2 linked regions of the Drosophila melanogaster genome follow. The protein of the gene in region 2 purifies or fractionates together with the protein of the main gene of each other region. This does not show direct contact. Each region holds a gene or a part of one and is shown on either strand. Other genes may lie near its edges.

Region 1 (4,757 bases), 1.3 Mb from region 2:
CAAAATAATCATAGTTAACAACCAAATGTATAACTATTTTCAGGATAACGCCTTTTGCTAACAAATAAAGTACTTATTAATTTCAAATTTTTAACAAGCTAAGTATGTATGTATCTTATTTCGGCTACCTGAGATGGCGGTGACAAATATAAAGCTGGAATCAAAGAGCAAAGTCCGACTGAGCCGCTGACCAGAAAGCCACCCACTTGCCGCCCCCAAAACCCACATACGACCCACCGAGTCACGAGTCCAATCTCCCAAAAACACCAGGCAGCAATCCAATGCACCTACCATTAATTGCTTTGGGCGTTGGTATGCCGGCCAGTTTGGCAGTCGGACAATGGCATTTGGGTTAGAGTGCTCCGCGCTGCAATCACGACCCCATTGTGACCTTTAGCAATTTCTGCGCCGACTACCAATGTCTGCCTGCCTCAGCTGCCACGCCCCCTAATTAAGGCAATGGCCGTACACCCACTGTGGGCGCGAGAAATTGTTAATTAAATATCAGTTGCAGCTACTCCTGGCTCTACGCTTTGTTGCGTGCTGGCTAATGACATGTTTATTGAGATTTCGTATCTAGCGGCTATTTAATATTTAGTCGGAATCTGATCCGGAATAGACCAAACGCGTGGGCTTGCGGATAGCACCTCCGATCGGGAGATCGTCTTCGGAACTCGATTGCTTTCCTTCCTCCTGGGAATTGGGTGAGCTCCAAGAAGCATCATCGTCCATATGATCTTCGGTATCTTCCTCGCTGCGCATTGGTTCATTCGTAACCTCCAATGCAGAGCTTGTCTCGCAATCTGCACCCTCACCGTCGTCCTCTTCGAATGCCCCTGCGTTTTTGGCCACATTGTGATCGGAGCCTTGATAGTGCCTGTCACGTTTCGGAGGATGATTCTTCATAAGCGCGCGATTCTTTTCACGACCCTCCTGGCGAAGCTTGGACAATTCCTCCTTCATGCGCCGATCATGATCGTGCTCGGGATTGGAGCCCATGTTCGTTATCACCTTAACGCACCCAGACTGTGGCTTATTCGTGGCTCGATTACGCAAGGCCTGGACATGACTCTGTCCGAAATTGGAGTCCAGCATGGGACGCACAGTCAACTTATTCTGGATCAAACCCTGAGGCTGGTAGAAGCTGCCCAGGCGAACATACAAATGGTTCTGGTTAACGGTCACCGGGTGATGCATCATATCGAAAACCTCGTTGCCCACATGAAAGGTTTCGCTGCCATCGGACCAACGAACAATTTTCGCATTGGACTCCTTGGTTTTGTTTTCGTTCTCGCGCCACCTAACAGTTGCCTTTAGACGATTTATGAAATCCTCGCGTGACTGTTCGTCCTTCAAATCATTCTTAGTCATGCGATCCTGAAAGGTTTCAGGCACGTATGCCTTGGATTCCACGGGTATGAAATAAGGCATCTTCAGAAACTGCGATGGACCTTTTAGAAGTCCACAATTTTGGGTTGTTATGGTGGTCTGGAACTTAACTGCTACATCTTTTTCAAAAGGTTTGCGTTGTTCTTCTATATCAAGAACTTGCGACTCCTTATCACCATTTACCTCTCCATTCATTCCATTTCCATTTTGATTCTTTGCATTATCACCGTAATCGAAATTTAAATCGAGACTATCAGAAGAGGCATACGACAAGACATCGGATTCCTTTTCATCTGAACTATATCGCAATTGGGACAACCTTTTTTCAATGTTGTAATTTTTTCCATTTGATTCATACTCTGTATTTGAGCTGGGACCTAATGGCACAGGATTGACCCTGGGTTTTAAAATATTACCTTCGGATGATGTCGGTGGAAATGAAGAACATTGCAATGGGAGCAATTCTTTTTCCATTGTATTACTTTTATTTATTGGGGTCGATGTAGAATGTTGCTTCGAGAGTAGGTCTTGTTCCATCTCATCAATCAATCCATTTGCTACTTCATTCGAGCTTGGAAAATTGGAAATAGAAACTGTCCCAGGGGACAATATGTTGCCCTCGTTAGAGAGCTGTTGATTATTATCTTCGTCAATGATTGTATTGAAATTGTCTTTAAGTTCTATGAGGGAAGTTGATTTTCTGATGTTAGAGACTGTTTCAGAGTCGACACTTCCCTGGTCATCACTTTCTGAAAAGCTCGGAATGCCGCCAACCTGTCCCGCAGAAGTTGTGGTTTCATTTGAGATATTTGAAGAAGATTTCGGGTTGCTCCAGTTAATAGATTTCGGTTCTGGAGCACATAATAATGATGATGAAAGCGAAGATGAAGTCGAAAACGAAGACGATTCTCCTGAATCTGGTGGACTTCCGGAGCTGGATTCAGAGGTCCAGCTTGAATTGGATGTGGAAATATATGGTCGTTCGCTTTTCGATGATGTCTTGGCGTTCAGATCAGATCGAGATTCAAGAGGTCCCTGCGATTCAGGAACACTATTTGCTGTTGAGTGAAAAGAATGTGAACGGCTTTGGTGCTGCCTTCGTGCCTTAGTTTTATTTCCTTGTTGATCAACGCTGGAGAAAGAGGGATTCGGGCTCCTGGAAAAGCCATATGGGATTACTAAGTTCTGCAGAATATATGTACCTAAACCAACCTCCTATTGAATGCAGGCCAGCTTTCGGAAGATTCACCATCTAAAGTAAAAGCGTAGATAATAATTCAATTTTTATTAATATTCTATAGACTACAAACCTTTTATTACTTGATTGTCGTGCAAATTGGGGTCAGCCATTTTTAGCGTAAGGCGAAGAGTTAGTGGAACACAATTTCTTCACAAGCAGCACAGAAAAAAAACTATATGGTTTTTTACGTAATGACAGCCGAGCCAAGTGACTGATTTATCGATTGTTTGACAGAGTTGTCTGGGCAAGAGTTGTCAGCTTTTCTAACAATCAGTGTTGTTCCCCTACTGTTTTAATTGGTTTAAAACTGTTGGAATATACTATTCAACCTACAAAAATAACGTTAAACAACACTACTTTATATTTGATATGAATGGCCACACCTTTTATGCCATAAAACATATTGTAAGAGAATACCACTCTTTTTATTCCTTCTTTCCTTCTTGTACGTTTTTTGCTGTGAGTAGGTCGTGGTGCTGGTGTTGCAGTTGAAATAACTTAAAATATAAATCATAAAACTCAAACATAAACTTGACTATTTATTTATTTATTAAGAAAGGAAATATAAATTATAAATTACAACAGGTTATGGGCCCAGTCCATGCCTAATAAACAATTAAATTGTGAATTAAAGATTGTGAAAATAAATTGTGAAATAGCATTTTTTCACATTCTTGTGAAATAGCTTTTTTTTTCACATTCTTGTGAAATTATTTCCTTCTCAGAATTTGAGTGAAAAATGGACAAGGCTAAACGTAATATTAAGCCGTTTGATGGCGAGAAGTACGCGATTTGGAAATTTAGAATTAGGGCTCTTTTAGCCGAGCAAGATGTGCTTAAAGTAGTTGATGGTTTAATGCCTAACGAGGTAGATGACTCCTGGAAAAAGGCAGAGCGTTGTGCAAAAAGTACAATAATAGAGTACCTAAGCGACTCGTTTTTAAATTTCGCAACAAGCGACATTACGGCGCGTCAGATTCTTGAGAATTTGGACGCCGTTTATGAACGAAAAAGTTTGGCGTCGCAACTGGCGCTGCGAAAACGTTTGCTTTCTCTGAAGCTATCAAGTGAGATGTCACTATTAAGCCATTTTCATATTTTTGACGAACTTATAAGTGAATTGTTGGCAGCTGGTGCAAAAATAGAAGAGATGGATAAAATTTCTCATCTACTGATCACATTGCCTTCGTGTTACGATGGAATTATTACAGCGATAGAGACATTATCTGAAGAAAATTTGACATTGGCGTTTGTGAAAAATAGATTGCTGGATCAAGAAATTAAAATTAAAAATGACCACAACGATACAAGCAAGAAAGTTATGAACGCGATCGTGCACAACAATAATAACACTTATAAAAATAATTTGTTTAAAAATCGGGTAACTAAACCAAAGAAAATATTCAAGGGAAATTCAAAGTATAAAGTCAAGTGTCACCACTGTGGCAGAGAAGGCCACATTAAAAAAGATTGTTTCCATTATAAAAGAATATTAAATAATAAAAATAAAGAAAATGAAAAACAAGTTCAAACTGCAACATCACACGGCATTGCGTTTATGGTAAAAGAAGTGAATAATACTTCAGTGATGGACAACTGCGGGTTTGTCCTTGATTCTGGTGCTAGTGACCATCTTATAAATGATGAGTCGCTGTATACCGACAGTGTGGAGGTTGTGCCTCCACTTAAGATTGCAGTGGCCAAGCAAGGCGAATTTATTTATGCCACTAAGCGTGGTATTGTCCGACTACGGAATGACCATGAGATTACACTGGAGGATGTACTCTTTTGTAAGGAAGCTGCTGGTAATTTGATGTCCGTAAAGCGTCTCCAAGAGGCAGGAATGTCGATCGAATTTGACAAAAGCGGTGTAACCATTTCGAAAAATGGGTTAATGGTTGTCAAAAATTCAGGTATGTTAAACAATGTACCTGTGATCAATTTTCAAGCATATTCTATAAATGCTAAGCATAAAAATAATTTTCGTTTATGGCATGAGAGGTTTGGCCATATAAGCGATGGCAAATTATTAGAAATAAAACGAAAGAATATGTTTAGTGATCAAAGTCTTCTAAACAACTTAGAGTTATCATGTGAAATTTGTGAACCCTGTTTAAATGGTAAACAG
Region 2 (4,737 bases):
CTGCGTCGCAGTCTTTGGGTCTTCTGGTGTTCTGGTCCTCAACTGCCATGGCCGCCGCCTTTTTGTCAAGTGGGAAAAGTTTTAGTAATTAAATTGTAATTAGGGATGCATCCGCCGCTCTGTGCCGTTTGTGCGTTCAATAACGCGGCTGTCTGTGCCAATTGTCTTGGCGTTTCATCAAGCCCACATTTCAGCGGCAGCCACCGACCGTGCTGATCGCCCCACGACCGGGCTTTCTTTGTGCCCAAGTCGCCATCCGTTTGCCGGTATACCCTGTAAGAGGGTAGTTCCCCCAGTAATTATCCACTTTCCATTTTCAATTGGCGGAACCATAGAAATTCTACATACTAACTGAGAAAATGTAAGGAAACCGTTCTACGATCTAAAAGAAAGAAACCCTTCTGGCAACATTCGACTCTGCTGAAACGTGTTAAAGGGTACCCATTCTTCGGTGACGTAATGTGGCAGGTATCTACGCGTAATTGACAAGACCTAACGACAGGTCCATTGTTCAAATAGCTGCAACTTTTCAGCCATTTTCATTGTAATTATTTTGTATGTGCTGCCTGGGCCTCTTTATGGCTTATCTGCCGGCAATCGTCATGAGCGGTGAGCAGGCCCAAGCCCCAAGTGGGGCTACGATGGCGTTGCAATGGGAGTTGTCGCTGCTCCTAATTACCAGGCGGAAGTGTCTCAGATCTTTCCCTCAACTGGCCGGTTACGGCTTTTGATCAGCCGGGCAAATTGCAGGAGGCAGCCGTAGAAAGGGTTCAGTCCATGGCCAACCTCGCGTCTTCTCTTCCACTTCCACACCGGATGCTGTCTTGGGAAAAAGCAATACAATTTTCGCAAACTGCGGCGCTTAAGTGCAGCTCGGCGATAATCATAATCATCCCGGGCGGCACTCAATGCCAGTAGCAGTTGATCAACCGATCAAATCAGCTGGTGCTGATTAGATGGCTCTGTGGCAACCGAACAACCCAACAGCTCAGCAATCCGGCAATGCGGCAATCTAGAGTGGAGCACGAACCAATTGGCTGATGTACGTGCGGCGCGTAAATTCAATTTCAGTAGCTGATGAACAAAAGCGCAGACCATGGGTTCGCTGATGGATTGCTGGTCAGTGCACTCGGAAAAAATATGACAGCCGCTGTGGGAAGATATTTTAATAGACATTCATGGCCAATATTGTTTTACACCGAAAAATGATGGAAATTGATTTGCAGATATAATAAATAAAGAAATGTTCCGTTCAGGATATTTTTAAATACTCTTAGTTAGTTGTTTGTACAATAATTTGTATCAAGGTGATGTGTTTTCCAAACGAAGATATTATGAGGAATAGTTTTCCCAGTGACTCCCGGCAGTTTCTGTTTTTATTCCGAGTGTGGGATAAATCGGTTTGCGTCTGCGACTTAACGAGAAATCAACGCCGCTAAGCAAATTATGCCGAACGATACGCATGCGCCAAAGCCATCAGACATCAGCCATCAGCTGGAGTCTGAGTTCGAGTTGGAGCAGCAGCTCGCCGCAGCTAGAGCATCATCATATGACCGGGCTGGGGCCTTCGAGTGGATCTGGGTATGGGTATGGGACTGGGACTGGGTCTGGGTCTGGGAAAGGCAATTGCCATCAAAGGCGATGCCGAGCGAGCTGCCAGCCGGCTGGCCTGAAATTGATTTAGCCACCTCGGACGAGCAGGCTGACCTCACTACTGTTTTTACGCCTTAAGCAGAATCTCATCAAGACGTAATGACAACAATTGATCAATCGCTGGCCAGGCTAATGGTTATGATGGGTCTCGTTGGGAAATCAGTTTATATTAAAATGTAATTTGATTGCGGTTGTGCACACAGAGGTGAACGCGGAGTAAGTAATTCTACAGTTTGTGGATATTTTTATGTTGAAGATATTCCAATCATATATAACAAAAAGCTCATATACTCAGGGGTGTTGATAAAACTTGAGAAAAAGCTGATGAAATATCTATTATCTCTGCACTATAATTTTGTTTGTACTTTTTTACATATAGTAAATATGAAGAATATGATTTTTGGTTGTCCACTGGGTTCCGCAGTTTAAAAGCAAAGTCTTCTTCTGTTTGGATTTAGAGGAATATATTTTCTCTTGAAAACTACTCACCCTGCTCTTCGTCAAAGTTTTTGGTGGACAGCTGGAAGAGGGCATCCAAGGGAGTGTCTCCACTTGATTTGCTGGCCCCCTTTGGTTGTTCCTCGGGCGACTTCTTAGGAACCTCCATTCTGTCCTCTTGGGAACGTTTTTCCACTTTTTCCGCCTGGGTGGGACTGCAGCATTCGGTGCTGCCATTGCTGCTGCTTGATCGCTGGGAACGCTCTGAACTGCCGTCCTCGGAGGCAATGATCGCGGGATTCAGGGTCATCTGCCGGAGGAGTTGCGCCTGTGCCTGGAAGTGCTCCTGGAGCTGGCGCTGGTAGTCCCAGGCCAGTCGCTGCTCATAGCTGTGGAGCAAAGCGGGCGATAAAAATGTATGTAGTGCAGCCGGCGGAGGGCAATTCGGCACCAAGGGTATTTGCAATCTTTCGTTGATCAGAGCCAATGGAGCAGGTACTCCTGGTAAAGCATTGGGAATGGCAATTCTCTCCGGCTTCTTCTCCACACGATCCTCTTCATGCCCTCGCCCCAGGATATCGGCAATGGAAAAGCTCTTGACCCTGACGGGTGATGACTTTTGGCGGTCATGTTCCAGGCTAATAGGACTCCTCAAAAGCCGCAATCGTTTCATATTCAACGATCTCAGAGGCGGTGGACTGGGCGAACCCACCGAAACATCAGAGTTAGCGGGACTGGGAGTTCTTTGCGGCATCTCTAGGTGTATTTTCCTTTGGCCACTCAGCACATCCTGGCTGTATCCTTACGGCTTAGCTCCAAACTCTTTTCTACGGGCGATTAAAAACGCGTCGGCAAAACGCGCGGCTGTCACACGAAAAACGTCGGCACAACGTGCAACACAAACACCAACAACGAAAATGGCTCGTGGCCAGAATGCGATGCTAATGCTGCTCGGCTCTCTGTCTCTCTTTCTTGGCCAAGCTCTCTCAACTGCTTTTTGGGGCCTCCAAACTGGTTGGCACCCATGACGTCACGGACTCGCGCAGCTGCGCAGCTTGTCTAATTGGAAACGCCGCCTCGCTCTCGCCAAGGGGGCGTGCCAGCAGAAAAGAGAGAGATGGAGAGAGGGAGAGCTAACCAGAGGACCAATAGCAGTTGGTCGAGGGCCATACAGACCCCCTCACCCGACCAAAAGTCGCTGTCAACGTGCGAACGTCATTAATTTGTACAATTTGACATGCGCTCTCTTTCCTCCCTCTCTCTCTCTCTCTCATTCTCGCTCTCTCTCTGGGGCGGCACTATTTCCCTCTCTTTCCCGTCGCTTTCCAGGCGACTGACTGCGTTAATTATCGTAATTGTTGGCTCACCCGCTTTTTCGCAGCTCTCTTTTGGCCCACTCAATTGTCATCAATAATGATGTCTCGTTGTACCGTTGGCTTCGACTCCTCATCTATTTTCCACTGGAAAAACAAGCCTCTTCGAATCCGTGTTTCGAGACCTCTGATGCACTGGGAAAAACAGTTCCCCGAACTGACAATCCTTCGTTCAAGAACGTCTTTTTGAAAGAGGTTTATTTGTCATAAATAGATGTGCCTATGAAAAATATTATAGTAATGTAAAAATGTCTTTCTCCCTCAAACTTCCTCAACATAAATTAAAAAGCGAACGAATTCTGCACCTCAAAAGTAATAACCTATAAATGGCACAACATGACAGTTACTTTGCTCTTCACATTTATTACTTGTTAACTTGAGATCGTTGTTAGATCTAATAACTAGCTGCATCTTGTTAGTTAGTTAGTTTCTCTACACACAATTTATGATTATATTATTTTATATTTTCCCATTTATATTTCCATTTGTTTAAGTGCATTTTGCTGGCACACATTCGTTTGTCTTGCCACTTCCCTCGCTTCCCACTCCACAGCTCAACTCAATGCATTTCCAAATTGATTGCAACTTTGGTCCGCTCGTTGTATCACGTATGCGCCCTGTATGCGCCTCGCTTCGTTTGTTTGTCAGTGTCAGTTTTTTATTCAATTTCGCTCCGCTGTTTGTCCTGGTTTTCTTTTTTATTTCTCGCTTTTCCTTGAATTTTGCATGCAAATGTCTATTTAACTGCATTGCGCCCTTTGCCGGTGGGAATGTGACTGAAGAGTCGGCTAAGTGAAATGATGTAACTGGCGAGCCGTAATCGATAATGGGTTCTACACTGCCCTTTGAAAACGAGTATAATTGATTATTTCGAGATGGGAAAAGAAATCAGGGGAAGTGGCAATTTCAACAAATTTGTGTTTGTATCTGTTTATTAAAGCGCGGAGCATCAATTACCAATGATTATTGGGCTCATCAAGGGCTTACAACAAATTGGACTTTTACACTACATAGTATGGGCAAATTAGCTTTTAATGTTTAACGTATAAAATTACAAAATAATAACTTGATCCAGCAAAAGTACACAGGTACCCAGCTGACAAAATGAGTAGCACAGTATGTTAATATAAAATCCAGTTTATTCAGTCTCTTGAAAGGGTGTTGTTTAGATGTATTTTACCCGAACCCTACATCGCAATTTATGACGCTGAATTTGCATAAGGGCCCTTCTCCAATCCCTTCGACTGCCCCCTATTTTGGTGGCAAGATGGCC

The links.
Region 1: the proteins of lbl (region 2) and CG10887 purify together in Drosophila melanogaster (affinity purification with mass spectrometry, with the first as the bait; one large-scale study listed by BioGRID). This does not show direct contact.

Annotation. Positions count from the first base shown.
Region 1 is NT_033777.3:20,112,921-20,117,677, reverse strand, and holds CG10887 (uncharacterized protein), read right to left. Parts: upstream 2,841-4,757; 5' UTR 2,740-2,840; coding exon 2,700-2,739; intron 2,642-2,699; coding exon 2,602-2,641; intron 2,546-2,601; coding exon 595-2,545; 3' UTR 539-594; downstream 1-538.
Region 2 is NT_033777.3:21,431,123-21,435,859, forward strand, and holds the start of lbl (ladybird late), read right to left. Parts: upstream 3,012-4,737; 5' UTR 2,846-3,011; coding exon 2,143-2,845; intron 1-2,142.